4 separate regions of the Mus musculus genome follow, and regions 1, 3 and 4 are each reported to be linked to region 2. Evidence: microRNA targets listed by miRTarBase, many of them from high-throughput screens and not tested one by one. Region 2 holds a microRNA gene; each other region holds the end of a gene's coding sequence.
The links. The annotated mature microRNA mmu-miR-669c-3p reads UACACACACACACACAAGUAAA and lies in region 2 at 3,795-3,816, opposite strand. An mRNA with a match to its seed (bases 2 to 7 or 8) in the 3' UTR can be bound and repressed. Matches are read on the target gene's strand: a 7mer-m8 pairs with bases 2 to 8, a 7mer-A1 pairs with bases 2 to 7 and ends in A, and an 8mer does both.

Region 1: miRTarBase lists Sec62 as a target of mmu-miR-669c-3p. The part of its 3' UTR that is shown has no 7-base or 8-base seed match.
Region 3: miRTarBase lists Adat1 as a target of mmu-miR-669c-3p. Seed matches in the 3' UTR shown: 7mer-m8 at 5,884-5,890, 7mer-m8 at 5,882-5,888, 7mer-m8 at 5,880-5,886, 7mer-m8 at 5,831-5,837 and 7mer-m8 at 5,829-5,835.
Region 4: miRTarBase lists Slc8a2 as a target of mmu-miR-669c-3p. Seed matches in the 3' UTR shown: 7mer-m8 at 2,297-2,303 and 8mer at 2,299-2,306.

The regions. Positions count from the first base shown.
Region 1 is chr3:30,817,474-30,825,735 of GRCm38, reverse strand. Sec62 (SEC62 homolog (S. cerevisiae)) reads right to left here. Exons shown (of 8, transcript NM_027016.2): 8 at 4,473-7,236. The coding sequence ends at 6,770. Among named protein-coding and RNA genes, the nearest start is that of Sec62, 29 kb to the right of the region's middle.
Region 2 is chr2:10,504,913-10,513,174 of GRCm38, reverse strand. It overlaps Mir669c (microRNA 669c), which reads right to left and starts at 3,879; the gene lies at 3,771-3,879. All of the region lies in intron 10 of Sfmbt2 (Scm-like with four mbt domains 2), which reads right to left. It overlaps Mir467e (microRNA 467e), which reads right to left and starts at 7,454; the gene lies at 7,368-7,454. It overlaps Mir466p (microRNA 466p), which reads right to left and starts at 7,169; the gene lies at 7,081-7,169. It also overlaps Mir467d, Mir466, Mir297c, Mir669a-2, Mir297b and Mir466d, and 1 more gene.
Region 3 is chr8:111,961,529-111,969,790 of GRCm38, forward strand. Adat1 (adenosine deaminase, tRNA-specific 1) reads right to left here. Exons shown (of 10, transcript NM_013925.5): 10 at 5,370-7,016. The coding sequence ends at 6,878. Among named protein-coding and RNA genes, the nearest start is that of Gabarapl2, 25 kb to the left of the region's middle.
Region 4 is chr7:16,157,533-16,165,794 of GRCm38, forward strand. It overlaps Slc8a2 (solute carrier family 8 (sodium/calcium exchanger), member 2), which reads left to right. Exons shown (of 10, transcript NM_148946.3): 10 at 1,272-2,979. The coding sequence ends at 1,648. Among named protein-coding and RNA genes, the nearest start is that of Meis3, 14 kb to the right of the region's middle.

The sequences.
Region 1 (8,262 bases), not on the chromosome of region 2:
ATTGCTAGTTAAAGGTCATGCCTAGATAATGAAACTTGTCAAAAAACTACAATTAGAACAAAACAAACAAAAGATGGATTGTCTCCAAGACACCTAGATTTCTAGGATAAGCATGTGAGGTTTGAGATAAAATTTAATTGTGCTTTTCACTGTTTGTACTTATTACTGTGTATGCAAGTCATCTTTTAGTTCCAGATGGACATTTCCTTCAAAGTAGCTTATGAAAACAATGAAGCGTTCCTTGGCTTCCATGACTGAAAAGCCCCAGTTGGCTTTGGGAAAAGTTGGAGTTGAAGGCTCAAAGATCACATTCTCAATGCCTTGGGTCTTCCTGATCTCTTCTTGGCTCTCATTACTTTGTGCTAGGATTATTTCATTAGCTTCATTCATGGGAGGCAACATTGCTACTGATATCTTCAGGTCTACAGGGTCCTTGGAACTCAAGAACCCTGGAGGAAGTGAGATTTGGTTGGGGTACCTTTGTTTTGGGATTGGAGTGTAGAGTGGAATGTATGATTGCTACAGAGGAGAGGGTGTGATTTCCAAGAAACTCAAATAAAATTCAAGCCATAAACGACTTACTAATAGATTTTCTTTAAAGACATTAAGTCATAAAGTAGGACTCAGCTTAAGTAGTACTGGCTACAAAATATCTCAAACATAAGTGGTGTGCTAGCCAGGCCTGTTAGAGATATGTAAAATTCAGGATTCTAGGATGTAAATGTTTGTTCATTGGGATTCACCAGCTATTAGCGTCTGTTCCCATAAGAAAGACAACCCTGATTAACAACCAGCCATTAAGCCTATTCTCAAAGACATACCTTTAGGTTATAACATTATAGGTTATTTCTATCACTCTTGGTTGCCCCACCAGAAGTGGAAGGTAAGTGCCTATTGCTGAGACACCATGCACTTCAGACACAGGGTCCAGAGGCCCCTGAGCTGGAATCAACCTGAATACTCACTCTCTGAGGACTAACTTTCATGGCACCTGAAGTTGCCATGCAAGCTTCCAAAGGGGAGAAGCAACCAACAGTCTAGCCATGAAGCCTTTAACCAGCATGGATGGCAAGATAACCCTAAGGTGCAGAGTGGTAGGCATATCTTGGAGGTAATCAACAACTAAGGCCCTTCAACAAGAGGGAAAGCATACTTGGTATCAGAAATCTAACCAATTACCCAGGCTAGTGAAGTCATGGATCCTGAAAAAGAACCTACAATTGCCTCTTTATAAAGGACCAGAATACCTAACTGCACTCTAAATATTTGTCCTTATAGCTGTAGTTAAGAAACTTCTTTGTGACAGAGATCTTTACAGAAAACAATAACCAATCAAAATGCAGAACTGTGGAGCCCAATCCCGACAATATATCTCCATCACAACTCCTGAAGGCTCAGGGATCACTGCAGAAGAGGGTTGGAAGGACAGTAAGAGCTGGAGGATCTAGGAGTTTGCTATGAGATTGTGTCTCCTAGTAAGGTCAGAAGCTACACCATCAAGTCTCACAAAGACGACTGTCTAAACATGAACTGAACAAAGAGAACAGACATGCTAACACGGGATGGGGAAAGTCCATAATGTCTTAAGTCTACACAAAGAACTACAGGCAATGAGGTATGCTGAGATCTGGTCTTCCCTAGGGAAGAACACATCAATTGGTTATTCGATATCAAGTGGTCAGCCCTGAAATCATATATACAAGGAACATTATACAGACAGCAGGTTTTATGTATGTTTTTATGTATTTATGTAACAAAATTGAACAAAAATAGAGGCTAAGAATTTGAAAAAGAACAAGGAGAGATACAGAAGAGGGTCTGGGGTATAGAAGGGGAAATGATGTCATGATACTCTCAAAATACACACACACACACACACAGAGAGAGAAAGAGAGAGAGAGAGAGAGAGAGAGAGAGAGAGAGAGAGAGAGAGAGAGAGAGCAGGCTGAGCAAGTCATAGAGAGAAAGCCAGGAAGCGGCACTCCTCTATGACCTCTATAGTTCCTGCCTCCAGATTCCTTCCCTGGCTTCCCTCAGTAACAGACTTCTGTAAGAGAAAACAAACCTTCGCTTCCCCATTTCATTTTATTTTAGTCATTTCAGCACTAGAAATACTAACTAGACACACATCTGAAGCATTTTCTCTGTTTCTGACACAATACTACTATCTCATTCTTTCAGATCAAGATACACCCAGAAGCCTTCTCAGATCCCGTCTGATCTGGCATTCATGCATGTGATAGAATAAGCAAGCCACAGATACCCTTAGTATCACATAAAACTCTGTGTGAATATTAAGGATTCAATTACACTAAATAAAGTTCCATTGGCTTTTGGAATGGGACGCTGACAAATTAATTACTTAGATCATAATCATACTCAAAGCCCATACTTTGCCACATGTGGCTACATGCAATACTGTTAAAAATCAAAGAGATAGGGTCTATGGTACAAAAATGGTGGTCTAGGTATTTCCTTAAAATAAAAATGGGGCCAAAGTATGATGACTTGGTTTGTGAGAAAGATGTCCTCTCCCTTGAGCATCATGCATCATGATAGCAGAGATCACAGGGGCTGGGAACACAGTGGTGCTCCTGGGTTCAGCACCCACACTGGGTAGTTAAGCTTTAACTTGAGCTCCTGGAGATCTGCTTCTGGCTTCCACATGCACCCCACACCTGGTATAAACACACACACACACACACACACACACACACACACACACACACACACACACACACACACACATTAAACCTATTAAAGTATTTTCTTCCTCCAATCCTAAAATGGCAAACTTACAGATATACTCTTCATATGTAGCAGGGTAGAAAAGCCACATAATTAACTTTCTAAGGCACTCTGAATTAGGTTAAAGTGTACATAGACTGTTATTTAGATTTGCACAGCTGAAGGTAGAATATGTAAAGGAAACGTTGTGCAGTCATCTGCAGAGATCACTACTAGAATGCACAGGACATGCTTTCAAAATTTCTGGGCTCCTTTCTAATACTCAGTGCTGAGGACCTAAGAAGCAGGTAGTCGCCTGGCTCTAGTTCCAACAGAAGATGGCTTTCTATCAATACTTTGAAGACATGAGCACTTTTGTCAAGTGTGGGAACAGGCAAAGAGGAAGAACTATGCTTTAGGAACTGCACACAGGACATCAGGACATTACCTTTGTCACAAAGGGTGCCAGCACAAGAGTGGGGAAGAAAATTTTGGGAAAGTGGTGGCCTTTGATAGCAGGACAGCCTCATTGTGGAGACGATGGGAAACAGCATCGTTTGATTTCTGGAAGCCAGAATGGACAGGAGCCCCGCTGCTTATCCCTATTCAGGCCCATGTCAGTGGGCAGCAACCACAGAGGAGCTGGGACTAAGAGGCACCTAGCATATCTGGCAAACCGTTGCGCAGCACTCATCACGCTGGCTGTTGCTCCATGGTGGCAGACAGGACTTTCCTTCACGGTGTGCCTCAGCAGATCCTGACTTACAAAAGTGCTCCGTATTACTGTCAGTGGCTAGACCTGAAATACTGCTTGTAGTGGAGAAAAAGCATTTTACCAACAATACAAGTAGGAACTGTTTATTTCTGGGTAAATATTTAAAACATTACTCAATACTGGAACATGATTTGTCAATCAATTCTATTCTGGGGGCAGAGGCAGGAGGATCTCTGAATTTGAGGCCAGTCTGGCTTATGTAGAATTCTAGGCTAGTCAGGGCTATATAGACTCAAGAGTACCACAGATTAAATGTCATGACTACAAGTGCAGCCAGACTTCATTATTTTTGGATTCTAAGTTCTGGGAGTACATATTTGAGACGTCTAAATGCCCTCAGAACTTTTATGGCCAAGAGTTAGGCAGCAATCACAAGTGCCCACTGTACACATCTTGGCAGTGCCTGGACAGGGCTGTCTTCTACATCTTGCACTGCTTTTTTGTTTGTGAATGTCTGTTTTTCACACTTGTGCATTTTTGTCTGTGATTTTGTTTAAAATGGTCACTAAAGGTAGAGCTAAAATGCCATCTCATGTTCCTCAAGGGCACAAGTGCAGTGATGTGACTCATGGAGAAGATATGTACTAGAAATCTTCACTCAGGCAGAAGTTATATTTACTATTGGTCATGAGTCACTGTTAAGGAATTAATAACATATATTAACATGTTTTTTAAATAGAGACAGCTAAAGTAAGTTTACATATTGGTTGATTAAATGTTGGTAACAGGCTTGTCGAAACTTAGCCCAATACTTCCCTTAGACGTGGTTCAGGATTTGTTACTTCAGTGTTCCAGAGACTTCACAGAATATAACCACAATGAAAATCAATTGTACATACTGTTTCTCAATTTCTAAAAGTTTTGAAAAAGAAAACTTACAAATGACATGATCTTTCTAGGTAGAATCTAATTGGTATTTGTGATTAAAAAAACCAAAGAGAAAATACCAAAATCCATCACTACTGCGTACTTCAGTGTAATATATTAAAATTTATTATTTTCTGGGTAGTATTCGTTGAAATTATCAATTAACATTCTCTAGAAGGACTTATAATTTAAAAAACTTAAGAATTCTGTAGGAAGGAAAAGAAAAAGCACCCTATTTAACACATTAATTTTGAGAACATTCACATATGTACTATTCTTCCATCTGGACTCAGTTCCTGCTTAGTTCAATCCTGCATAGGCCAACATACATACACTCCATAGTAAACCCCACATTACCCAAAAGCTTTGTGCTTCTACTTACAGCAGCATAGGAAATCATTTTTTAAGAGTCACTACTCCATTGGCTAGTGTAAACAATTCTCCATGCTCTGACACAAAGACGTCTAAAGACTACAACAGAGGAAGCATTTTGATTTTTTAACTTGTTTAAAGTGTTTTACCTTGAACCATACAATAGAAATTAAGCTGAAATTTCTAGTCCATACCTAACGAAAACAAGAGTACTCTCCCCAAAGATCAGCAAATACTTATGAAAAATTTACTATCCACTTGTATCAGTAAGTGGACTTTGTAGCTAGCATTCTTTATTGTTTAGACTAGACACAGGACATATGTTACAAAGATCTTGCAAATAAATATTGAGTGCCTGGGTACTATACTAGTAAAGGTCAAACAAGCAGTTTTGTTTTATCAAAGTTTCTTGTTCCATTTTCATACCCTAAATAGGTATTAATCTACCTGTGACTAACAAGCTCATAAGCTGTAATTATCCTCTTCCTTACTGTGGACACGAGGCAGCAGGGCTCTGCAAATAAATGTGAAGGAAGAACACCGAGGCACTGTAATCAATGCACAGCGCTCTGAGGACCGCACCTACCGTTCCATCCACACAGGAAGACTAAAGAAACAAGTCAAGCTGTATTTCATAAGCTGTCAATATACAGACAATGGACAAACACAAGAAGAGAAACAGCCTAAAGGAGGATGAAGACCTATATATCCATCACCTACTAACTACAAAGCAAAACCACCGTGTGACTAAAGGAAAATCACTCACTGCTCACTGGGGTGTAAAACGTGGCTCCAAGGATTGCTTGTGTATATGCAGGCGTTTTAAAGAAGGTTTGTAGCGAAGGTGTGTAAAAAGTAAATGGCCAAACTAGTTTGAAGCAATTAGAGTCCAATGGCTTGCTGTGTTTTCTTTTATATCCTTTATTTTTAATTGGTATTTTAGAACAGCAAATTGTCTTTCACAGCAGTGCCTCCTCGTCTGATGACATAGCCCCCATTTCTAAATGTAAAGATTTAAAATAAATCAATGAACATTAAGGCGTACAAACAGCTACTACTTTAAGTCTGTTCTTACTTAATAAGGATAACTTTTACTCATATTAAAATACATGGAATGTTGGCACACAACTGAAGCTGCTGTAGAAAGATCAGATGTTCTGTGGGTTACTGAAACTTTCTAAAAACATACCTTACATGGTTTTTGTTTTACAAATTTCAGTGTTGAGAAATGTCTAAATAATAAGTAACAATTAAAATAAAATGTTTTATTTGTAAATTATGTACAGAATACATCTTATGTTATGACAAGGAGATGGGGAGGAAGGAAGAGCCTCGCCGTCCAGTCAGCGCTCCTCACTTCTGCTGGAGATGACCGCCTTTCTCTGGATTGAACGCACAGGTCAGTTGGGATTTCCTAAGCTGGAAAAGGAGAATCTGTAGCTGAATTAAAAGGGTTGCTGCACTGTTACTAGCTGGCTTGTTTCCACAAAATGCTCTTGATCCCTGCTAACTCAAAAACCTTAAAAAAGGAATTTTTCTGGTATAAGTTTATGAAAACAAAACAAAAAACCAAACAAACCTAAAAACCCAAAAAGAGCATAACTAGCAAGAACAATGAGTTTAAGCATTTGATCCTAAAGAAACTGCCAAGTGGCTATATACTTATGCATAATCTGAAATGCTGCAGTTTCTTTAGCAATTTCCATTAGTCTAACAGTAAAAAGCCATACAACTATCAAAAATGCCCTTATTCTAAGTGTCATTGTGGACAATGTACCTCTGATGACTATCAAAATGAGGCCTACTTACTGTAAAATTATCAGATGGATAAAACTTATTAATGGCTTTAAACTGTACCAATAACAGTACCAACGTTCTACAAAACAAAAGGCTGACTGTAACTGAATGTCAAATACATTTCAGAAAATGGATTTAAAGAATGCTACAAATGCCATCTGTACATCATGATGATCGGCCAACACAGAAAACCCAACCTGCTGTACTTATTTAGTCCCCCAGCTAGTCAGATTATGATTTCTCATGTGCAGATTTAGGCACCTCTCCATCTTTGTCGTCATCCTCCTCATCACAATCCCCATCTGTCTGCTGCTCCAGCTCCTCCTTCGTGATCATTTCAAAATCATTCCCGTTCCCGCTACTGTGTTGCGAGCGGTCGTCTTCCCGCCTGTCACTGTCCGTGTCTGAGTGCCGCTCTCCGCCCGAGCCTTCTGGTCCATGGTCTGCCGGAGCTCCTTTCCCTTCCTCATCCTCCTTTTTCTCACTGTCTGACTTTTCCTCACTGTCGGACTTCTGCTGCTTTTTGGTTTCAGATTTCTCATCCTTCTTTAAGTCTGCTTTTGGTCCTTTGTACTCATGTGTGTACAGGGGCCTGAAGGAGTCAATGAAGCCCACGTCAGCAGTCAGGTTTGGCAGGAACCAAAAGTGGTGCCTTCCTCCAGTTATCAGCCAGATGATGAGAAACAGGATGCAGCGAGCTGTGGGGAGCAAGGTTTCTCTTGAATAAATGAAATTAAGCCTTGAAGCAGCTACAGGTAATATTTGTTTGTAAGAACCTAGACAATATTTAGCTCTATTTGCATGTTTTATGCACCATAAAGACAAATACTTAAGATTAGATCAGCTTAGCACCTGACAATATTTTAGGAGCTGCTTGAAACTTAGAAACACAAATGTTATGATGCCGTTCTCAAAAAATTACTTTTTTTAAGTCATGGACATACACTGAGGACTTGTGCATTTTGTGAAGTTGTGCTTCAGTAAGAACAGTAGTCAGGTGGAAGTCGAAGCACCCATGACATCATCACACCATAAGTAAAGAAAATGTGAATAAGGACTATGAATGATACTGGAAGAAAGCAGCCAGAAGAGCAGAATGCCATGCAGCCTTACTTCCCTGTCCTTATGTCTTGTCCTGACTTTAAAAACCACTACATTCAACACACAATATAGTATAATGTAATATAATGCTGAAAAAGTGTATATACTGAAACATATATTATTATTCCTGATTTTAAAGTAAATACAAAAAACTCAGTGGGCCCTTAAATGTATTCTGGATATGAAGCATGTGCTAACTTGTTTAAAAGATAGCTCAGCTTTGAATGAAGAATCCAGGCATTAAAAAACCTCTATCATCAAATTCTTGTCTTGATAATTAGGCAAATTATGCTTATTTAAGTACCAACTGCTTCATCGTTAAGAAAAATTGTACGTACCTTAAACATAAGCTACATACAGTGGTGAATTACAATGGTGCTGCAATCCTGGCACCTGGGGGCAAGGTCTGAGCTACCCGCCAAGACTCTATCTCAAAACATTAAAATAAATAAAAACCAAAGGAACTCCAAGAAACCACATAATGCTCACACAGCCAAGATTGCTCAAACACATGATTTATGAGGGAACTTGTGTTTTTGTTGGTGCCTGGGCTGGAATCTGGGTGGCCTGTCAGCTAGGCGACATAAAACTATAGCCTCAACCTTTTTAACTCTGAGACAGGG
Region 2 (8,262 bases):
ATATATATATATATATATATGTATATATATATATATATATATATATTCATTTACACAGATGTACACGCACACACATGTAAACACACATGCACATACATGGGTGGCATCACAGGAATACCAGGATAATCTCTAACTGAAGTTAATCATGAATTTGAAATCCTGATTCTCCAGACTTTGTCAATCATTTACAGCTGGTGACTGAGACCATTCACTGTCCCACTACTGCAGTCTCTAAAACTCTAAGTCACCTATCATTCAAATGGATCGATGAGTGCCATTCCTGTGTGTGTATCTGTGCTTGCTTGTATATGTTTGTGTGGATGTATATGTCTATTCATATACACACATGCACATGCACACAAAACTATACACACATGCACATACATTGGGGAGGATCCCATGAAGCCAGGCTGATCTGTACACCATTTTGAAGTTACTCATGAATTTGAACTCCTGATCCATCTGAATATGAAAAACATTTTACTGGTAAGTAAGAAGTTTCATTGGCCAAGTACTACATAATTGCTAAAGCTCTAAGTCACATATCTTTCAAACATATAAATGAATGCAATTTTTTCTCTGTGTGTGTGTGTGTGTGCTTGCATATACACATGTGTTTATGTTATGTATATTCATGTCAACACATGCACATGCACATACAAGTAAACACACATGCACATACATGGGTGGCATCACATGAATACCAGGATGATCTCTAACTGAATTAAGCATGAATTTGAAATCTTTATCCTCCTGACTTTGTCAATCTTTTACACCTGGTGGGTGAGACCATTCAATGTCCCCTATTGCATAATCTCTAAAACTCTACATGACTTATCATTCAAAGGGATTGGCGAATGCCATTCCTGTATCTGTGTATGTGTGCTTGCGTTTATACGTGTGTGTGTATGTTATGTATATTCAAATATAGACATGAACATGCACACACAACTATACACACATGCACATACATGGAGGAATCACATAAATCACAGGCTGATCTCTAAATTCTCATGAGGATAAGTATGAATTTGAACTCCTGATACTCTTAACTCTAGTAAGCATTTTCACTCTAAGTCACTTATCATTCAAATGGATTGATGAGTGCCATCCCTGTGTGTGTGTGTGCGTGCGTATCTATGTGTGCGTGTATGTATATGTATATTCATATACACACATGTACATGTACGCACACACAAACACACATGCACATACACAGGGGCCATCACATGAATGACAGGCTGATCTCTACCTCATCACGCAGTTAACATGAATTTGCACTCCTGATCACCCTGACTCTGGCAAGGGGCGTCACATGGTGAGTGTGACCTCTCCCTGGCCCAGTCATACAGAATCTCTAAGACTCTAAGACACATATCATTCAATAGAACAATGAGTATCCATTTTCTGTGTGTTTGTATGCATGTTTGTATGGGTATGTGTGTATGTATATGTATATTCATATACACATGTTCATGCACACATACATATACACACAAGCAAATAGATTGGGGGCATCACATGAATCCGAAGTTGATCCCAGACTCATCATGAAGTTGAGAATGAATTTTGACTGCTCATCCTCCTGACTCTGGCAAGCATTTTTACCTTTTGACTAAGAGCACTCACTGGCCCAGCACAGCATAATTTCTAAAACTCTAAGTCACCTGTCATTCAAAATGATTGATGGGTGTGTGTGTGTGTGTCTGTGTATCTGTGCTACTTCTATATGTTTGTATGGATGTATATGTATATGCATATGCACACATGCACATGCACATAAACTATACACACATAAACATACATTGGGGGGAACCCCGTGAAGTCAGGCTGATCTCTATGTCATTTTGAAATTACTCATGAATTTGGACCCCTGATCCATCTGAATATAACAAACATTTTTACTGGTAAGTAAGACGTTTCATTGGCCCAGTAATACATACTCTTAAAGCTCTAAGTCATATATCATTCAAACGTAACGACGAATGCAATTTCTTCTGTGTGTGTGTGCCTGCATATACACGTGTGTTTATGTTATGTATATTCATATCAACACATGCACATGCACATACAAGTAAGCACACATGCACATACATGGGTAGCATCACAGAAATACCAGGATGATCTCCAACTGAAATTAAGCATGGATTTGAACTCCTGATCCTCCTGACTCTGTGGTTTACACCTGGTGATTGAGACCATTCACTGTCCCACTACTGCATAATCTCTAAAACTCTAAGTCACCTATCATTCAGATGGATCGATGAGTGTCATTCCTGTGTCTCTGTGTGTGTGTGTGCTTGTGTTTATATGTATGTGCATGTTATGTCTATTCATATACACACATGCACATGTACACAAAACTATACACCCATGCACATACATGGGTGGCAATCACATGAATCACAGGCAGATATCTATATCCTCCTGAAGATAAGCATGAATTTGAACTCCTGATACTCCTGATTCTAGCAAGCATTTTTACCTAGAAAATGACAGCACTCACTGGCCCAGTACTGAATAATTTCTAATATTCTAGGTGGCATATCATATAAATGGATCTATGAATGTTATTCGTGTGTGTGTGTGTGTGTGTGTGTGTGTGTGTGTGTGTGTGTGTGTGCACGCTAGGGTTTATATGTCTATGTATATGTTATGTATATCCATATAGACACATGAACATACACACACAACTATACAAACCTGCATGTACACTTAAGGCATCACATGAATCACAGGCTTATCTCTAAATCATGCTGAAGATAAGCATAAATTTGAACTTCTGATACTCCTAACTATAGTAAGCATTTTCACCTAGAGAATGAGAGCACTCACTTGCCCCATACTGAATAATCTCTACTACTCTGAGTGGCATATCATTTAAATGGGTCAATGAATGCCATTCCTGTGTCTGTGTGTGTGCTTGCGTTTATACGTGTGTGTGTATGTTATGTATATTCAAATATAGACATGAACATGCACACACAACTATACACACATGCACATACATGGAGGAATCTCAGGCTGATCTCTCATGAGGATAAGCATGAATTTAAACTCCTGATACTCTTAACTCTAGCAAGCATTTTCACCTAGAGAATAAGAGCACTCACTGGCCAAGTACTGCATAATCTCTAATATGCTAAGTGACATATCATTCAAAGGGATCGATGAAAGCCATTCTTGTGTCTCTATGTGTGTGTGCTTGCGTTTATACGTGTATGTTATGTATATGCAAATACATGCATGAACATGCACACACAACTATATACACATGCACAATCATGGGGCCATCACATGAATCACAGGCTGATCTCTAAATCCTCATGAAGGTCAGTATGTGTTTTAACTCCTGAATACTCTTAACTCTAGCAAGCATTTTCACCTAGAGACTGAGAGCACTCACTGGCCAAGTACTGCATAATCTCTAATACTCTAAGTGACACATCATTCCAATGGATTGATGAGTGGCATTGGTGTGAGTGTGTGTGTGTGTGTGTGTGTGTGTGTGTACTTGCATTAGTGTGTGTATGTTATGTATATTCAAATACAGACATGCACACACAACTATACTCACATGCACACACATGGGCGATATCACATGAATACCAGGATGCTATCTAGCTGAACATAGGAGTGAATTGGAACTCCAGATCCTCTTGACTCTTTCAATCGTTTACAACTGGTGAGTGAGACAATTCACCGTCTCTACTTCAAAATCTCTAAAACTCTAAATCACTTATCATTCCAATGGATCGATGAATGGCATTCCTGTGTCTGTTTGTGCACTTGTGTTTACTTGTGTGTGTGTGTGTATGTTATTTATATGCAAATACACACATCCACACACAACTATACACACATGCACATACATGGAGGCATCACATGAATGCCAGGCTGATCTCTAACTCATCATGCCGTTAACATGAATGTGCACTCCTGATCACCCTGAATCTAGCAAGTCTTCTCCTGGTGACTGAGACCTCTCTCTGTCAGCCCCAGTCATACAGAATCTCTAAGACTCTAAGTCACTAATTATTCAAATAGATGGATGAGTGCCAATTTTTGTGTGTTTGTATGCATGTTTGTATGGGTATGTGTGTATGTATATGTATATTCATATACACACATGTACATGCACACATACATATACACACAGGCATATATACTAGGGTCATCACAAGACTCCGAAGCTGATCACGAACTCATCATGAAGTTCAGCATGAATTTTGATTCCTGGTCATCCAAAGTCTGGCAAGCAAGCATTTTCACCTTGTGAGTGAGAGCACTCACTGGCCCAGCCCTGCATAATCTCTAAAGCTCTGAGTCACCTGTCATTCAAAAGGATCAATGAGTGACATTCCTCTGTGTGTGTGCGCGTGTGTGTGTGTGTGTGTGTGCGTGCCTGTGTGTTTATGTTTGTCTGTATGTAGATGTATATTTGTATACACACATGTACATATACACAAAACTATACACACATGCACATATATGGGGGGAGGATGCCATGAGGCCAGGCTGATCCCTAGGTCATTTTGAAGTTATTCAGGAATTTGAACTGCTGATCCAAAAGGCAAGCGTTTTACCTGGTAAGTTAACTGAGACATAGCTCTGGCCATTCCTGTGAGTGAGTGTGTGTGCATGCGTGTATATGCATATTCATATAGAGAAGTGTATGTGCACAAAGCTATACACACATGCACATTCTTTATGGTCATCACATGAATAGCATGCTGATCTCTAACTCATCATGAAGTTAAACATGAATTTGAACTCTTGATCCACCTGACTCTGTGGTGTGAGACCTCTCCCTATTGAGTACTGCAGAATCTCTAAAACTCTAAGTCACATATCATTCAAATGGACTGAGGAGTGGCATGCGTGTGTGTGTCTGTGTCTGTGGATGGGTCTATGTGTGTGTAGGTATGTATATTCATATACACAATCCACACACAGTTACACACATATACACATACATGGGGACATCACATGATTCCCAGGCAGATCTCTAAGTCATCATGAAATAAAGCATGAATTTGAACTCCTGACCTCCTGATTCTAACAAGCATTTTTAACATGATGGGTGATAACTCTCCCTGACCTAGTCACACATAATCTCCAAAGCTCACAGTCACATAGATCAATGAGTGAGTGCCATTCCTGTGTGCCTGTGTGCTCATATGTGTCTTATGTGTGCGTGTATGTATATGGATATCATATTCACATATGTACATGTACACACACATAAACACATATACACATACATAGGGGCAATCACATGAATGCCAGGATGACCTCTAACTCATCATGCCTTTACCATGAACTTGCACTCCTGATCTTCCCGACTCTACCAAGGGTTTTCCCGTGGTTTGTGAGACCTCACCCTGGCCCAGTCATACATAACCTCCAAAGCAGTAGGTCACATATCATTCAAATGGATCCGTGAGGGCCATTCCCGCATGTCTGTGTGCATGTGTGTGTAGGTGTGTGTATGTATATGCATAAAATATACACGCATATACATGCGCGCACTTATGCACACAGGCACATACATAGGGGCCATCACATTATTCCAGGATGATCTCTAACTGCTCATGAAGTTAAGCATGAAATTGAACTCCTGATCCTCCTGACAATGCCAATTGTTTACACCTTGTGAGTGAGACCATTCACTGTCCTTCTACTGCATAATCAGTAACATTCTAAGACATATATCATTCAAATGGATCGATGAATGCCATACCTTGGTGTGTGTGTGCTTGCTTTTATACGTGTGTGTGTGTGTGTGTGTGTTATGTATAATCATATACACACATGTACATGCACACAAAATTATGTGTGCATGTACATACCTAGGGTCCATCACACGAATCCAGGATGATCACTAACTGATCATTAAGTTAAGCATGATTCTGAACTCCAAGACTTCTGATTCTGGCAAGCGGTTTTCATCTAGTTGGCGAGATATTTCACTGTACCATAAATATACACTCTATGAAATTCTAAGCACATATAAAACTTATGGATGACTGCCATGTGTTTCTGTATGCATGCATGTGTGAATATGTGTCAATATATGTCTTTTCATATATCCGCATGTACAGACAAACTTATCTATACACATACACAGAAACAATCACATGAATAACAGGCTGATCTGTAACTCATCAGGAAGTTAAACATGAATTTGAACTCTGGGACCTCCTGACGCTGGCAAGAGCATCCACCTCCTAACTGAGACATAGCTCTGGCCCAGCACTGCATAAGCTCTAAAGCTCTGAGTCACATACCATTCCAAAGGATATATGAGTGCCATTCCTGTGTCTGCATGTGTGTATATGCATATTCACATAGAGAAGTGAATATGCACACAACTACACACACATGCACATTTTGGTGTGCATCAATGAAACACATGCTGATCTCTAATGCATCATGAAGTTAAACATAAACTTGAACACCATATTCTCCTGACTCTAGCAAGATTATTCACCTCCTACCTAAGAAATAACTCTGGCCATTCCTATGAATGTGTGTGCATGTGTGCATATGCATATTCATATAGAGAAATGAATATGCACACAACTATACACACATGCACATTCTTGGTGGGCATCACATGAATCCCGTGCTGATTTCCAACTCATCATGAAATTCAGCACAAATTTGAACTCCTGATCCACCTGACTCTGGCAAGGGATTTCACCTGCTGAGTGAGACCTCTCCCTATTCAGTACTGAGGAATCTTAAAACTCTAAGTCACATATCATTCAAATGGACTGAGGAGTGGCATTCATATGTGTGTCTGTGTATGGGTCTACGTGTGTGTAGGTATGTATATTCATGTACACAAATCCACACACAGTTACACACATATACACATACATGGGGGCATCACATGATTCCCAGGCAGATCTCTAAGTCATCATGAAATAAAGCATGAATTTGACCTCCTGACCTCCTGATTTAAACAAGCATTTTTAATATGATGGGTGATAACTCTCCCTGATCTAGTCATACATAATCTCCAAAGCTCACAGTCACATAGATCGATGAGTGAGTGCCATTCCTGTGTGTCTGTGTGCTCATATGTGTCTTATGTGTGCGTGTATGTATATATCATCATATTCACACATGTACATGTACACACACATAAACACATATACACATACATAGGGGCAATCACATGAATGCCAGGATGACCTCTAACTCATCATGCCTTTACCATGAACTTGCACTCCTGATCTTCCCGACTCTACCAAGGGTTTTCCCGTGGTTTGTGAGACCTCACTCTGGCCCAGTCATACATAACCTCCAAAGCAGTAGGTCACATATCATTCAAATGGATCCGTGAGGGCCATTCCCGCATGTCTGTGTGCATGTGTATATAGGTGTGTGTATGTATATGCATAAAATATACACACATATACATGCTCACACTTATGCACACAGGCACATACATAGGGACCATCACATTGCACCACTCTTTCATGAAGTTAAGCATGAAATTAAACACCTGATCCTCTTGACACTGTCAATTTTTTACACCTGTTGAGTGAGACCATTCAGTGTCCTTCTACTTCATAATCAATAAAATTCAATGACATATATCATTCAAATTGATCAATGAGAGTCATACTTATGTGTGTGAGTATTCAAGTCTGTATGTGTGCATGCATGTGTATGTATATGTATAATTATATGCATACATGTACATTCACACAAAGTTACACACACATGCACATACCTAGGGTCCATCACATAAATCCAGTACGATTTCTAACTCATCATGAAGTTAAACATGAATTTGAACTCCAGATCCTCCTGACTCTGGCAAATGGTTTGCATCTGATTAATGAGATGTTTCCTGTCCCATGAATATGCACTCTATAAAACTCTAAGCACATATAAATCAAATGGATGATTGCCATGTGTATTTGTGTACACATGTATGTGTCCATATATGTGTATATATATGCATATACATATACCCACATGTACAAGCACACTTACCTATAGACATATACACGTACACAGAGGCAAAAACATAAATTACAGCCTTATCTATAACTCATCATGAAGTTAAACATTAATTTGAACTTCATATCCTCCTGACTCTGGCAAGAGTATTCACCTCCTAACTGAGGCATAGCTCTGGACCAGTACTGCATAAGCTCTAAATCTCTGAGTCACATAACATTCAAAAAAATATATGAGTGACATTCGTGTATGTGCATGAGTATATATGCATATTCATGTATA
Region 3 (8,262 bases), not on the chromosome of region 2:
CTGCCTCCACCACCAGGTTTGTCCAGTAGGCTTCCACTGAGGGTAAGCTTTTAGCTCTGTAAGTCTAGACAGCAGATTGGACACAGTTGCTTCTGAGCTGAAGGGCAGACCCAGACTGGAAGCTCCCAAGCACAAATCACTGTCAGTGCAGGAGACAGCCCTCCTCTCAAACCTGTGCTGTATATGACCGAATTTCACCCTCCCAGCCCCGATGCCAGTGCGCGAGGATTCTGACACTCTGAGGATGATTGATTACCTTCCTAGGATCCTAAACCAGTACATCCTAGGGCCACATTCCACTCTAACCCAGTGCCAGACTCACCGGGGGTCTGCTAGGTTAGATGGGGAGGAGGCCTGCCCTTGTATATATTCCACAGGAATGTACGTATGCTTTAGATCTAGCATGGGTCTAGAATGGGTCTGCTTTGGGCATGAAGTACACTCTAGTTTAACGTGAGTTTTGGTTTCTTGAAAATTGGGTTTGTGAGCCTTGCACCAATTTTATACTCCATTGTTTTAGAATTCTGAAGTATTTCAAGCAAAAAACTAAATTCCTGTGGCTATCTATCTACCTACCTACCTAATTTTTTGAGACCGTGTTTCTCTGTGTAGCCCTGGCTGTCCTGGAACTTGCTCTGTAGACCAGGCTGGCCTTTAAATCAGAGATCTGCCTGTTCCTGCCTCCTGAGTGCTGGTGTTAAAGGTGTGAGCCCTCCCTCCCCCGCAGCTATGGCCCTTATCGTAATCTGGTTAGTTGTTATACTAAACTATGGTAAGGGAGGTGCTTCATAAACAACAGATTGATCCCTCATATGTCTGGAAGCCAGGAAGAACAGATTAAATATGTGTATTAATTAGTTAATATGTGGGTTAATTAACAGATTAATTAGCGAGACACAATCCCTGTTTCTCGATGGTCATCTTCTAACTACGTTGTAACTGGTGGGGATCTTTCTGAGGTATTTATTGATTTTATTGAGGCAGAGTCTTGTATGACCCAGGCTGTCCTTGGACAGGGCAGGTACCATTATGGCATCACACCAATCCCATTCCTGAGGGCTCTGCCTGATCTCCCTCAAAGATTCTGTCATGTGCTACCACTGTCATATGGGGAGTTAGGATCACGACCTAAGAACTGCAGAAGGAGACAGACATCAAGGCAGAGCTGGGCTTTCAAGTAGAGTTTGGAAGGTAATATGAATGTTCCCAGCAGAGCTCTTTTCTCTCCCTTCCTCCTCTGCCTGGCCAGTCTCCCAATACAGGAGTTACTGATAAGCTTCTATAGAGAGACATTCCTGACAGCAGTGGTTAGCTGAACAACATTATTACTGCAGGAAGATACCAGTGGGAAGGACAGTTCTCACAAGAGGCAAAAATAAAACCAAAACCAGGAAGATGCTGAACCTGTGTATAGGAGGAATGAATATAAATATCTGGAAGGAGCAGGGTCCTAAGACTTCAAGAAACACTTTTCTTCTCAACGAAACCCAACTCGAGGCAGACGGCACCCAAGGCTAAGCATTCATCTGCTGTCCAGAGAATCGGGGATACCTCCGGGTACATTTCCTCAGCAGTTCCCCCACAGGCTCACTGTAAAGGCCTGCTGCTGAACGGAAGACAGAGCTGGGAAAGGGCTCTGTGATACCGCCCAGTGGCCAGGTTGGTTTCACTGCTGAGGGGCCCACCGTGCCTCCCTTCGAGACACCTCTGGGTTCAAAGCGCATCTCATTCTCCTGGCTGCCTGGACAGATGCCCACCACTGTTTCCATTGTGAGCTCTTCCCTTGGGAATACGGCCAGTTTCAAGGGACGTGTACTTGAGACCAATGTCTGGCAGTTTGGGTTCCTACTTGGAGTGACTTTCCGCCTCTGCCTCCCCCCCGCCCCCCAACCCCCCAGCCTCTGCCACACTTGGACACCGGAAAGCAGTGCCAATCAGACTTGATTTGAAAGGTTGGTTCCTAACCCTTGCTGACTCATCCGAATAAGGGCAAAACAGCAAATCCACACCAGAGTCCCCAGGCTGCTAGATTAACACAAAAGTCCCCCTCCCCTCCCCCCATCACTAGTATAACTGAGGCCATAGGCAGGTCAGAGGGTCACAGCATCAGAGTGTCTTCCATTCAACAGCAGGCCTTTACATTGAGGAAAATTCCCCAGTGCTTTACTTAGGCAATTAAGAGGTTTCTTCTGCCTCCGTTTTTGAGCCAGGGTATTACTCCTTAGCTCTGGATGGACTGAACTCCGTAGGCCACGCTGGCCTTGAACTCAGAGGTATGCCTGCCTCTGCCTCCTATGTGTGAATCTAAGGTATGTAATGCCACACCCCACCCAATTAAGAGATGCTAAAAAGTGGAACTAGGGAAAGCTCTGAGCCAAGTGCTTGCTTAGCATGCGGAAAGATGCTGAGTTTGATTCGCAGCACACAACTTTTTAAAAAAATGAGAAAGCCTACCCTACACTTGAAAACACTTGCGCAGCCTAGTTGCTGGTACTTGCTTTTGTAGAACAGAATGGAGGTCACAAGTCAAAGGTTAAATGCCTTCCCAGCATACAGCTGGTTGTTGGTGGCAGAGTTGGTACTATCATGTCATTTGCATCCATGGCTGTACTCAAATTTATTCTGATTCCAAGTAATAAGGACTTTTTTTCTAACACATTCTAAATTGAGGTATAATTACATTTAAAAAAACAACAAAAAAAAAAGGAGCACAGAAAACTGTAGACCTTCATAAACTTCCACAAGATCTGCATTCCTCTATTTAATACCCTAAGTAAAACCCTGACTGTTGGCCAGGCATGGTAGCACCCATCTGTAACAGCAGTTTGGGGAAACTAGGATGGGAACATCACAGAGTTAGAGGCCAGCGGGGGGCCTCCTCCCAAAACATCACCAAACAAACAAACACTACCAACCAAGCAACGTGTGGTTTTGTTTTTCCTAGTGCAGGAGACTGAAAGTAGCAACTTGCACGCATTACCAAGTGCTGCCTCCCACCCACTGTCCCCAGTCTAAATAAATACTGACTAAAAAGGCTGCCTACTCCAGCTCTGAAGCGTCTCTGACTCATTTCTCTCTGTCCTTTGGGCTACAGGACCACCTGAAAATCATTTGGGATCTACTTGGATGGCTTTACAGGGAAACAGGCTGGTTCAGTTACAGACACAGCTAGTTTTAATTTCGGTTTTTTGGTTTTGCTTTTGTTTCTCAGGATAGAAGGTAGCCCTGAATGTCCTGGAACTAGCTCTGTAGACCAGGCTGGCCTTCAACTTTTATCAGCTGGAATTGAAGGCACGCACCAACACTGCCTAGCTTGCTTTTTTTTTTTTTTTTTTTTTTTTTAATGTTTTTAAAAAGATTTGTGTGTAAAGTCAAGGCAACTATGATTCTGCAAAATGAGGTATACAATGAACTATTCTGCTCAGAAAATACTTTCTCTCCTCGACCTCGGCCTCCCTGGCTCTGAGCTCAGGCACAGTCAGGATGGTGTGGCTGTACATCCGGAGCCTGCCTGGCTCTTTCTGAATCTAGCCACTCCCTTTGGTTAGCCAGCTCAGTGCCTTTGGGAAGGTTTGCTTGGGCTCCTGAACAAACACACACACACACACACACACACACACACACACACACACACACACACACACACACACACACACACACACACAGACACGATACACAAGTTCTGGTTTTATTGGTGGCAGGATGGCTGTTGTTTAGAAACTGGAAAACTCTGGCTTAGGAACCTTGTTCTAGGTCTGGGTGGAGGCAGCTTTCCAGCAGCCACAGACACAAGCAGGTCAGACAGGGGGCCTGCACCTCTCCAGCTGGCAACCAGGGCAGCCCCTTCTTCTCCACAGCAACTTCCTCAGTGAGCTCATGCCTGGCACTGGGGAATCCATAAAGCATGGCATTTGACGTGGCATCCCTCCATCCTGAAGAAGAACTATGTGCGCACACAGGTGGTGGCAGACACGGCTGAATCAGATTAGGTTCTGAAAATTCTGAGGAAAACTCTCTCTCTCTCTCTCTCTCTCTCTCTCTCTCTCTCTCTCTCTCACACACACACACACACACACACACACACACACACGCAGAGTCATAACATTAGACCCTATTTAGGCACACACGTAAATGTAATCTTTCCTCCAGAGCCAAATTTGCCTTTTTTTTTTTTAGTTGAAGACACAATTTTGTGGAATTACGCATGGGTTAGAGTTGCTGTTCCAATTCCTGTGCAGCTTCATTTCTGAGGGGCTTCTAGTTTTTCTACAGTTTAAAATATAAAATCCTTCACATTAATTAAAAAAGACCCCTGGGTGGGGTAGCACTGGTGGTTGGGCTGGAGCATTTGCCTACCATATGGAAGGCCCTTCCTAGTTTCTCTGATGAGATGGGGCAAAGGGTCCTGCTGGCCGTCCTGTTCCTGGTGGTGGTCTATGGGCACCAGTGGAGTGGATGGATGGGGAGTGGGGACACGCATGAATGTCCTCATATTCTCTGATTTTACCAAAGAAACCAGGTTTGCTGCAGCCAGGGCCCAGAGAGGACACAGGAGGGACACAGGTCAAATGATAATCAGAGCCACCTTTTCTCTAGAGGTCTTCATGGGTTTGGCCCAAGGCTCACACTGGACAATGTTGCCTGACTGAGGATAAACAGGATACGTGGGATAACTTATGGAGAGGGCTGCTTTCTGGCTTGGGATTTTAGGAAGATAAGGAGTTCCAGGGCAGCCTAGGTTTCAGAAGACACAGTCTGAGACCAAGCAAGCAAGCAAGCAAGCACTTGCCAGGATTACAGAGATGTGATGTTAAGGCATACATACAATTCTAAACTTTTCTTTTTTGGGGCTTTATGAGACAGGGTTTCTCTGTCTCTGACAGACAGCTTTGGCTGACATGGAACTCCAAGTGTTGGCATTAGAGGCATGCACCCCAACCCCCCAGTGTAAACTTGGGTTTTAAGAGCATAAACTAGGATGCAGGCTGTTGGATGTTTAAATACCACCTTTAGCGCTTTGAGACAGTAAGTGAAGCTCAAGGGAAGTTGCCTTTAGTGGTTAGCCTTCAGTGTTTTCTACCCAGATGCCAGTGACTAAGGGTGTGAGTAAACTTGACAGATTATAACTTTAGGAGTAAAAATATATTACTCTTTGAGACCCTTTCTTCCTACTGGGTTTGGGTTGCCTTGTCTAGTCTTACTGCAACTTGCTAGGCCATGGTTGGTTGATATCCACTGGAGGCCTGCCCTTTTCTGAAGAGAAATGGAGGAGTGGATGGGGGTAGGGGAAGGTGAGGTGGGGGAGGAAGGACTAGGAGGAGAGGGGAGGGGAAAGTGCAGTCAGGATGTGAAATAAGTAATTAAAAAATGTTACTACTTCACATTTAATTCAAGTCTTTATAATATAAAAATCTCATAAAAGAACACTGCATGGTGGCACACAACTTTAATCTCAGCACTCAGGAGGCAGAGGCAGGCAGATCTCTGCATTTGAGGCCAGCCCGGTCTACAAAGTGAGTTCCAGGATAGCCAGAGCTACACAGAGAAACCCTGTGTGGAAAAACAAAGCAAAGCAAAGCAAAGCAAAGCAAAACAAAACAAAACACTATAAACCACAGTGACATTGAGTAGCAAGCAGAGCTTCTGCTTCCAGGTGGGAATAAGCTGAGTGCTCTCTCCTAGGTGACAGTTAAACAGGGTTAGCTGCTACGTCGTTTGCTGATTTGTTGTAGGAAATTAAGGCATTTGGGAACTGAGTTAAAAAGAAAACAATTTAGTCAGAACAGGAACCTGGTAAGATTGCTCAGCTGATACAGCTGCTTACTGCCACACACACACCGTGACAGTGTGCCCCCCCCCCCACCGTGACAGTGTGGCCCACACACACACACCTCGACAGTGTGGCCCACACAGATAAAGACACTAAAGACAATCAAACCAGGCATTTGCCTCATGTGGTTTTGTGCAGGCTGGAGCCTTCATTCTTGGCTGGCTGTCTCTGTGTGGTAGGAAAAGACGGTGGCTACTGGCAGTTACAAGACTATAGTGGACCTCATGACATTGCTCAGAAGAGAATCCAGGAAGCAAAGTTTGAGGTGACACTTAGAGGCAGAGGTGGGAAGATCAGAGTTCAAGGTCACCCTTGGCTTCATGTTGAGTTCAAGGCCAGGCTGGGCTATAGAGAGAGGGATCCGGTCTCAAGCAAAAGGTAGAAGGGAGGGGGAGGGGAAGGGGGAAAGGGAAAGGAGAGAAAGAGAAAGAGGGGTGGGGAATGATGGTGGCTTCAAAGTGAGACTGTCTCAAAACCAAAACCCAAACCCAAACCCAAACCAACCAACCTTTCTTGGTAAGTCTGAGAACAGAGCTTTCCGAGGCTAGTCCTGTGCTGAGCCTGATGGTAAAGCTAACTCCAACCATGTCTAGTTGCTGAGGACTGGGAAGTGATGATGGTTACAAAGGAAGGCTGCAAACAGGAAATACATGGTTTTCATGAGTCCGGGAGAGGCTATAAAGCTTCCAGCACCCTAAGATGATTTCAGCCCAATGCGTCCTTGCTGAATCAATGTAAGGAGATCTACACCAGAGCTGCTGCAGGCTACTTTAAAAGCATCTGATGCTGTATTTTAAAGAACCAATAAAACACAATTGAAGGCAGCCATCAAGAGCATTACTGAGAGGCTATTTTAGCACGGAGCTGCTCCAGTCAAGTATAGATTGCTGAGGTTCTGCGGTCCATTTATGACACCAGAGAGGTGCAGCGAGCGCTCTGGGAGAAGGCAGCTCATTCTCCTGGGATTTAACCACCAGAAAAGCAGAGGTTCGTTCAGCATGAAGGGAGAGGCAGACCGATACGAAGGGTCCTGATACCAGCAAGAGTTCATTTAAATTGGTGGTAGTCGGGTGGGTTTCTGATCCAGGACGCAAACGGCTGTATCCTGCGGAGGGCACCCCAGGCTTCCTGGTAGGCGGACGCAGCATCCTTGTACTCCTGATAGGTGTCCAGCTTCTTCGTTACCCTAATGCACACATGCCATCAAGCACAGTCCTGACTGAGTGCTCGCCCACCCTCAGAGCGACGGAGCGGCAGGGGAGGAGCAGAGGGAGCACTCTGTCCCTCCACTCCACAGGGAGTGCATGTTAAAGCAACACAGGCTTAAGCAGGTTAGAATCACACAACACTGGCTTTGTATGGCCCGTGTACAATCAGATCAAAGCTTTCTTTTCTCTGTGGTGCTGAGGATCACAGAGTTTCGTGTACACTGGACGGTCTCCTCCTCCTGTAATCGAGCTGTCTACCCCAGCCCTGACTTAGGGTTTCTACCAGAGGTCCTAGAGACGAAAACCTTGACGGTTTTTTATGCTAAGGACATGACATGACACCTCCACTCTCCTGCTATGTGCTGCAGCTGACATCCTTTAGCCTCTCAGGTGGAAAATGCCCCGTACTCTGAGTAGCTGTAATTCTGAGGAGATTTTCTTTAGATTTGGACCAGGACCAAAATGTGGGTGGGAGTGCTCTGAGTCCTTGTCTTGGCCTTGAGTTCTGCCCTGGCTTTGTGGTGTGAGCTGGAACTCTCCAGTGTCTGTTTAGCTCTCACTCTTTCATCCCCTTCAGTACTGGAGCCAGTTCATCACTTTGGGCTGGGCGGGTGGCTCAGCCGGCAGGGTGCTTGCTGATCAGCACAAAGCTCTGCCTTTGATCCTCGGAACTGAGCAAGCCGGGTGTGGAGCATACTCCTAATCCTAGCCCTTGGAGGCAGAGACAGGAGGAAGGCACTGCCGAGGTCATCCTTGGCTATGTAGCAATTTGAGGCTCCTTGGCCTCAGGAGACACTAACTCAAAGGGGGTATTTTTTTTTTCTTTCTTTCTTTTTTTTTTACTTTCTAGCTCATTACCCTGCCTGCCTTTAGCAAGAATCCTACTTAGTATACGTCTACTAAGAATTACTCTAGCCTAGCTTTGAAATTAGCTTAGAAGGCAGAGGCAGGCGGATTTCTGAGTTTGAGGCCAGCCTGGTCTACAAAGTGATTCCAGGATAGCCAGGGCTATACAGAGAAACCCTGTCTCAAAACAAAACAAAACAAAACAAAACAAAAATTAGCTTAGAATTTTTTTTTTCCATTCTGCTCCTGGCTCAAAGTCTCCACTTGTTCATGTACTTGGGAGCTGAGCCCAGTTTCTTTCCCCTCCAATAGTCCTCTTTACCATCTTTCAAAACGTCTGAAGAAATCTTTCTTTACTACTTCTGCAGCACATTCTTC
Region 4 (8,262 bases), not on the chromosome of region 2:
TCACAGGGGACTAACGTGGCAGGAAATGGTAAAAAGCAGTCACAGACTCTCTAGGAAGAAGGGGAGGCCCCTCGGGGGTTGGAAATGGTCTCAGTGTTCCTGAAAAACCTCACAAAACCCGTTGTGTGTGGGGAGCTCCATAGAGACAGGCCCTGCCCAGGTGATGTCATAGTTTCGTGTGGTGGATGGCGGAACCCTCTCAGAGGTGCATGGACATAGATCAGAGAGCAGCTTCAAGGCATTCTTATTCCACTATGTGGGTTTTAGGGATCAGACTCAGGTCATCATGCCTTGTGGCAAGTGCCTTTACCTGCTGAGACATCTTACCAGTTCAATGCCCAGCCTTTTATATAGACACTGGGATCCAAACTAGGATCCTTATGCTATGCTTACACCCAGGGAGCCATCTCACCTTTTGTTTTGTTTTGTTTTGTTTTGTTTTGTTTTGTTTTGTTTTGTTTTGTTTTGTTTTGTTTTGTTTTGTTTTGTTATAGAGGGTCTCAGGTAGTCCAGGCTGGTCTAGAACTCATTATATAGAAGAACCTGGCCTCGAACTCCTGACCATCTTGCCTCCACCTCCAAGTGTTTGGATTATAGGCATATACCACCACACTTTTTTTGTTTTAGTTTTGTTTTGTTTATTGTTTTTTGTTTTGAGATAGGGTCTCAATTTGTAGTCTTGGTTGCCCTGGAATCAACTATGTAGCCCAGGCTGGCCCCATACTCATGGTGATCCTCTTTCTTCAGCCTCCCAAGTGCTAGGAGTGCAGGTATGCATACCACCCTGGCTAAATCGACTCAGATGAGAGTAGAGAGCAGACAGTATAATGGTGAACATGCACCAGAAACAGGGCAGTGCCTTGTGTCCTGTAGGGAGGCTGAGGCCATGATTGTCTGGACCCCAGCAAACCTCTTGGGAAGGATAGTACATTTGGAACAAAATGCCATCATCAACAGGAAGCGCACATGTGGGGACCCATTGCTGTTTCCTTACGGGGTGTGATGGGACGAGGGCTGGGCAGCAGCAGCTCCTCCAAAGTTAAAAAGTGAGCCCCTAGACGAGAGCTCAATGCCAGCTTTACAGAAAGCAAGCTTGATGCCATTGAGAGTAGGCGGTGGAGCCTACTGGTTGCACAAAAGTCCCAAAGAAGTGTTCCACAGACAGTGAAGCTTACTGCATGAAGACCGATCCCAAAGGAAGTAGGCAATGGTCTGGGGACGTCACGCAGCCTCTCACACCGCACCCCCCCCCCTCCGTCTTGTCCCTGTAGACACGTTCGCCAGCAAGGTGGCCGCGCTGCAGGACCAGTGTGCCGACGCGTCCATCGGTAACGTGACCGGCTCCAATGCGGTGAACGTGTTCCTGGGCCTGGGTGTGGCCTGGTCGGTGGCAGCGGTATACTGGGCGGTGCAGGGTCGCCCCTTCGAGGTGCGTGCAGGCACGCTGGCCTTCTCGGTCACGCTGTTCACCGTCTTCGCCTTCGTGTGCATCGCAGTGCTGTTGTACCGGCGCCGGCCGCAGATTGGCGGCGAGCTGGGCGGCCCGCGGGGACCCAAGCTGGCCACCACCGCTCTCTTCCTGGGCCTCTGGTTCCTCTACATTCTCTTCTCCAGCCTGGAGGCTTACTGCCACATCCGGGGCTTCTAGGGCCCTAGCCACCGCCCTGAGGGTGGGGACTTGGTGGCATTTGCTCTTGGACCCACCAGTCTCTCTACCCAGACTCAGCCTGGGCGCTCCCTAGGCTCTTCCTCCTCAGCCTTCTTCCTGGGATCAGCCTCCCTTTCCCCCTGGAATCCCATCCTTTGCCCTCCCTTCTCAGCTGCATCCCCTTCAGCCCATCCTTTGTGAGGTAAACCCGAGTCCCCTGGCCAGACACTACTTCTCGGTCTTTCTGGGCACCGAGCCTGATTCTGTCTTCTCGTGTCCCTCCCTCAAGCCACGAACTTCCACCTGTGCGCCCAGGTCTTAGAACATCTCCCTAGGTACCTCAGAGGGAGGCTGTGCCATCCCAGGACGCCATCCATCTCTGCCCTTAACCACCCCAACCCTCAGGGAGCTCCCTTGCAGTCCCCAGGGAAAGGAATAGGGGTTTGTGCGGGGAGCAGGGAGAAAGGCACGCACCTTCCCTGATTTATCCACTCAGAGGCTTGGAGATGGAGGAGGGACGTTTGGAGTATCTGTCCCCCAGGCTTAGCCAGAGGAGGCACATCTTGAACCCACTACTTCTGACATTCCAGCGCCCTACTCACCCTCCACTACCTCTGAGAGCCTAGCCACGCCTTGGAGGGAGGAGCCTGTGTGTGTATATAGTGTGTTTGGGGAGGGGGGACACGGGAGGGTGCATGTCTTGGGGAAAGGGGCGTTGACAGACTTTCCCTTCTGAGAGGGCAGCAGGACTCACTCAGCCTGAGAACCAGCTTAGTGGATGAGACTGAGACTCAAAGGGAGCCCACCTGACCTCCCCTGACAGTATTCTAGAAGGGTTAACGAAAGTACTCTAGTCTAGAAGGTTTATTTTGCTCTCAGTGCCAGCCAATCTGGGCAGGACCCTCGAAGAGGAGACCGAGGGTCCCAGAGGACCAATGCTACAAGCCAGCAAATGCTGCCACATCTCTGCCTGTTGGGGGGCGGGGGTGGAGGGGAGGGTGGGAGGGGGGCTGGGTGGGCATTTTTAACTTTGCAGGCCATACATCTGTTGGTAGGCCACCTGCATTTTCTTACTGTTGATGTCTCCTGCCCCAAAAAAGACATCCTTGGGGAACGGGGAGTGCTGCCCACTCCTTGCGACCTTAGGTGACCCTGCCACCCTCACAGCCTTCTGCTTTCCCTAAGTTATTATTTTTGCATTTTCTTGTCCATTTGTGCATCAGACCCATTACCCACGGCCCTTCTCACCCCTTGCTCATCAGCATCACTTGATGTCCCTTCTCTGTGGTTTCTGTAAAAAACTGCCATAAAACTTTGAAATTCTGCCTGAACAGTCCTCCCGTGGGAAGTTGGGGTGCAGGAGGAAAGGGATGGTAGCAGCTCCGACATCTAGACCACAGGAAACAGACCCGGCAGCCTTTGCATTAGAGTTGGCCAGACAGCAGGACACCAGCATACGCTAACCACATTCAATGTTACCAGAGCCTCCACCAGCCACAACCATAACTAAAAGCCATAGGCTTCTGGTACCACGCCTTACCCATTAGCCAAGAGCATCTACTAGTTTCACCCCTGCCCATTAGCCATTGGTTTCTAGTACTGATGTTCCACCCATCAATCATGAGCCTCCACTAGCCACGCCCCTGCCAAGCAGCCATAGGTTTCTAGTACCATGCCCCACCCATCAACCAAGAACCTAGCCCTGGTTGCCACGCCCCTCACAGTCCTGAGCTTCTGCTGGCCACACCCCACTCACCAGCCACAAATGGTTCCTCTTCATAGGATATTGTGGGATTGCAAAAGAGAAGGACTCTAATTTGCCTGAGCCAGAGGGAGCTGAGGTTGATGAAGTTTCCTAAATAAAATAGGTCACTTTCTCAGAATCATGCATGGAACAGGAGGTGTGTGTGTGTGTGTGTGTGTGTGTGTGTGTGTGTGTGTGTGTGTGTGTGTGTGTGTGTGTGTGTTTTCATAAGGGTGGATTATTCTAGGGAATGAGTACAAAGTTAATGTGTACAGACGTGTGAGGCAGTGGCTTTTTCAGAGTGGGACAAAGGATGAGCAGAAACGAAAGACGCGCTTCCTGCATGGAGTGGGGAGCAGAGAGACCTTCAGAGGACCAAGTGTAAAAGCCGGTAATAGCCACACAAGGAGGCTTAAGATTTAAGAGCAAAGGGCTGCTTCAGAAGAAATTTAGAAGGAGCAGGCCAGCAGATGATGTCAGCTGATTTATATAATTTTTTTGTTTTGTGTGTATGTGTACTTTGATTGTGTACGTATGTTCATCATGTGCGTGTAGTGTCTGCGAAGGCCAGAAGGGGGCTTTGGATACCCAGAACAAGGCAATCGTGGGCCACGCAATGGATACTGGGAACTGTACCCTGCCGGGTCAATGTTCTTAATCTCCAAGCCGTCTGTCTCTCCAGCTCCTGATTTATAATTTTAAGCATTCCTCATAGACTCCTGTGATATCAGCGACTTCCTGTGATATCAGAGGTTGGAAATCAGGAACTCAGGCAGGAGAAGAGGAGTGGAGGCTGGACTGGGTGTTGGAAATCAGGTCACAGATCAAGCCAGTGAGAAGGCACAGGAAGACCTATCGGCTGGAAAGAGGTGGTGACTGAGGGGGAATTTAGGGAAAAGACCTTAAAGTGACTCGGGTAGGGACAGGGAAGGTGCCCATGCCACCACAGGGCTGGGTACAAAGGAAGCAGCTGCCCTCCCTGGACACAAGATGAGCAGAGGCTGCAGTGGCCCATCGAGCTGCTGTGCTGGGGGTAGCATGAGCAACACAGACACATGGAGTGCCTGAGAGCAGCACTAAAGGATGAGCGAGCACACTAATCTTACCCTCCAGGTCCCACCAGCTCCTGTAGCCACGGGCTCAAGCCAGCGCCTGTCAGTCTAGAATGAAGAGAGCAGGAGAGCACATGGTGGCGGGGGGGGGGGGGGCTGTCAAATGCAGAAGAAACAGGGGAGAGAAGTCTAGGGTGCTGTGGCCCTCAGAAAAGGAAACTGCAGGAGAGGGGGATCTGGGACTTGTCAGCAAGCCAGGACTGGCATAGGCTGCCCGGGGGAAGAACAGAAACAGTGCCTCGGGGTATCTCCAACATTTAAAGTGTGCATGGGTGAGAGAGATGAAGGCAAGGGAGACACCAGAAGAGCAGAGGGAAACCCAGGTGGCAGGCAAGTTTCCAAGATGGCATGCTCATGAGGAAAAATCTGGCGTGACGGATTGGGTGAAGGGCTCAGGGACACTCTAAGATGAAACCATTAGCACAGACCTGCAATCCCAGAACTCAGAAGGCAGAAGCAGGACTGAGTTTCAGGCCAGCCTGAGCTACAGAGTGAGTGAGACCTTACCTCAAAATCACAGTGGGCTGTGACTGCATCTCCTGTGGTAGAGGGCTGGGTTCATATGCATGAAGCCCTGGGGTCAATCCCCCACATCACATAAAATCAGTCATTGTAGTGTGAGCTTGTCTTAGGGCTTCATTGCTGTGAAGAGACACCATGACCAAGGCAATGCTTTTTTTTTTCTTTTTTTTTAATGTTTTTCGAGACAGGGTTTCTCTGTGTAGCTCTGGTTGTCCTGGAACTCACTCTGTAGACCAGGCTGGCCTCGAACTCAGAAATCTGCCTGCCTCTGCCTCCCAAGTGCTGGGATTAAAGGCGCATGCTACCACTGCCTGGCTAAGGCAATTAAAGAAAAAAATATTTAATTTGGGGCTGGCTTGAAGTTTCAGAGGTTCAGTCTGTTATCATGGCAGAAAGCATGGCAGCGTGCAGGCAGCCATGGTGCTGGAGAAAGAGCTGAGAGTTCTACATCCTGATCCCCAGGCAGCAGGAGGGACTAGATGTGTTTCACACTAGGTGTAGCTTGAGCATTTAAGACCTCAAAGCTGGGTCTCCACAGTGACACACTTTCTCTAAAAGGCCACACATCCATCTATAAGGCCACACCTCCTAATAGTGCTACTCCCTATGAGCCAACCATTCCAACACTTGAGAATATGGGGGCCAAAGCTATTCAAACCACCACATTTGTAATCCCAGCACTAGGGAGGCAGGTAAGTAAGGACAGCCTGTCCAACTTATACTACATGAGAATATCATGAGAATATCTATCTCTCTATCTCTTTCTCTCTCTCCTCTCTCCTCTCTCCTCTCTCCTCTCTCCTCTTTCCTCTCTTCTCTCTCTAATACAGGGTTGTCCTGGCTGTCCTGGAACTCACTCTGTAGAACAGGCTGGTCTCACACTTAGAGATCCACCTTCCTCTGCTTCGTACGTAAAGGTGTGTGCTGCTGCTAGGGCAGTTGAGAAGCTTTCTGTAAGAAAAGAAAACATCTGAGCTTGGACCTTGCTGGGAGAGACTTGGTGAGGTCTGTGTGGGGGTAGAGAGCATGGGGTTTAATTAGCCCAATGTGGAGTGCGTAGAGCTGGAAACTGGGTCAAGGTGCACAGACCACACTTAGAAAGTCTGGAGAGGGGAGAGAGTAGTGAGAGGTGACCAGGATCAGAGGGTCCTGAACCAGGACCTTGGCCAGAATGCCCCCTGCACCAGCAGCCACTTCACAGAAGAGGAAACTGAGGCTGAGAGAGGTGCAGCAGCTTACCCAAGGTCTCACAGTGAAGAAAGGCAGAAATGAGGCCCGGGATGCAGAGGACCAAGGAACAGCTCTATGTTAGCAAGAATGAATGAGTACAGTGGAAATGTGCCAGAGGGACTGGGTGAGTGATGTCCATCAAGGCTTGTAGGAGGGAGTGAGGAATGGCAGACTTGCTTGGGTCCAAAAGAAATAGCTTGGAATCTAGCTCAATGGTAGAGCCCCTGCCTAGAATCCCCCACTGAGGGGCTGGGGGCGTGGCTCAGTGGTGGAGCCCCTGCCTAGAATCCCCCAGTGAGGGGCTGGGGGTGTGGCTCAGTGGTAGAGCCCCTGCCCAGAATCCCCCAGTGAGGGGCTGGGGGTGTGGCTCAGTGGTGGAGCCCCTACCTAGAATCCCCCAGTGAAGGGCTGGAAGTGTGGCTCAGTGGTAGAGTCCCTGCCCAGAATCCCCCAGTGAAGGGCTGGAAGTATGGCTCAGTGGTAGAGCCCCTGCCTAGAATCCCCCAGTGAGGGGCTGGGGATATTGCTCAAAGGCAGAGCATTTTCCTAGTATGCAAAATGTTTCATCCCTAGCATCCAAAACACAACTGATCTTTGATATCTCAGTTTGTCTCCCTGGGAGGTCATGTCACTGCTGTCATGTTTTTCTTGTTCTGATGCTCCCTCACCTCACAGATGGATCCCATCGGGGTCCCCTTCTGCAAGATGCACATTTGGAACTTAGGACCTTACTGGGACCCAAGTCATGTGATAGACACACTGGAGGCTGGGAAAGTGAGTCTTAGGAGTTCTCTCTGGAGAGAATGCTCCCCTCCGGTGTTCTGAGTGTGTGTAAAAGGCAGCAGGATACAGGACAAGAAGAAACTGTGTGCTTTCCATTCCGGATGAGACACAGGTCTGAAAATCCAGATCAGAAACCTTCCAAAAGTCCGTTTCCCACAAACCTTCCAGCTTAAAGCAACACGGATGTTCCTCAAAGCCCGATGCCATGTTAAACCATGATGTTAGCTGGGTTGCACTCCCCGGGAATCTGAGGAAGGGGAGAGAATCTGCTTCCAAGATTCCAGAAGCTTCCATTCCCACCTCCTCTGACTCCAGCTCCTTCCACTTCATGGAGTTTCCTTATGACCCTCTCTTAACTAAAAGGTCCCAGGTGGTGGCACGTCAGGTCCACCTATATAGTTAATGTTTTTCTTTTCCTTGTCCCCAGAATTTTAAATTGGACACATCTACAAATTCTTCTGGGGTCACATTTGGAAATTCTCAGGTTCTGAGGACTGTAGAGTGGACATCTGGGGGCCATTATTCAGCCTGCCACTGTCTCCACTGTGACTTAATGGAATGTATCTCAGGACCCTCTCTCCTGCTGTGCTTCTGCAGACATCAACCAAGCCACACACCCATTGTCCCGTAGCTGTTTCTTAGGATCCAACGTGTTCATGGAGGGAGCAGGGCACCTCCTGAGACTAACATGAGGAGCTGCAGAAAAAGCCCAGCCGTTAAACGCATGCATAAGAACCCGACTTTGATTCCCAAAGCCTATGTTAGAAAGCTCACAACCACCTATAATTCCAGCTCCAGAGGACCTATCCTCCCTCTTCGGGCCTCCACAGGCACCTGAACTCTGGTGCACATAAACACACACACACACACACACACACACACACACACACACACTTTAAAATACAATAAAATAAAAACTTGTTTTTTCAAGACATAGTTTCTCTGTGTAGCCCTGGCTGTCTCAGAACTCAGTCTGTAGACCAGGCTGGCCTCGAACTCACAGAGATTTGCCTGCCTCTGCCTCTCTAGTGCTGGGATTAAAGGTGAGCACCACCATCACCCAACAATAATTTTTTTTTATAAAAGAATTTAAAGACTAGAGGGATGGCTCATTGGTGAATAACACTTGTTGCTCTTGCAGAAGACTCAGATTTGAGTCCCCAAACCAGCATAGTGGCTCACAACAGTCTATAATTCCTCTTCCAGAGTATCCAGTGCCCTCA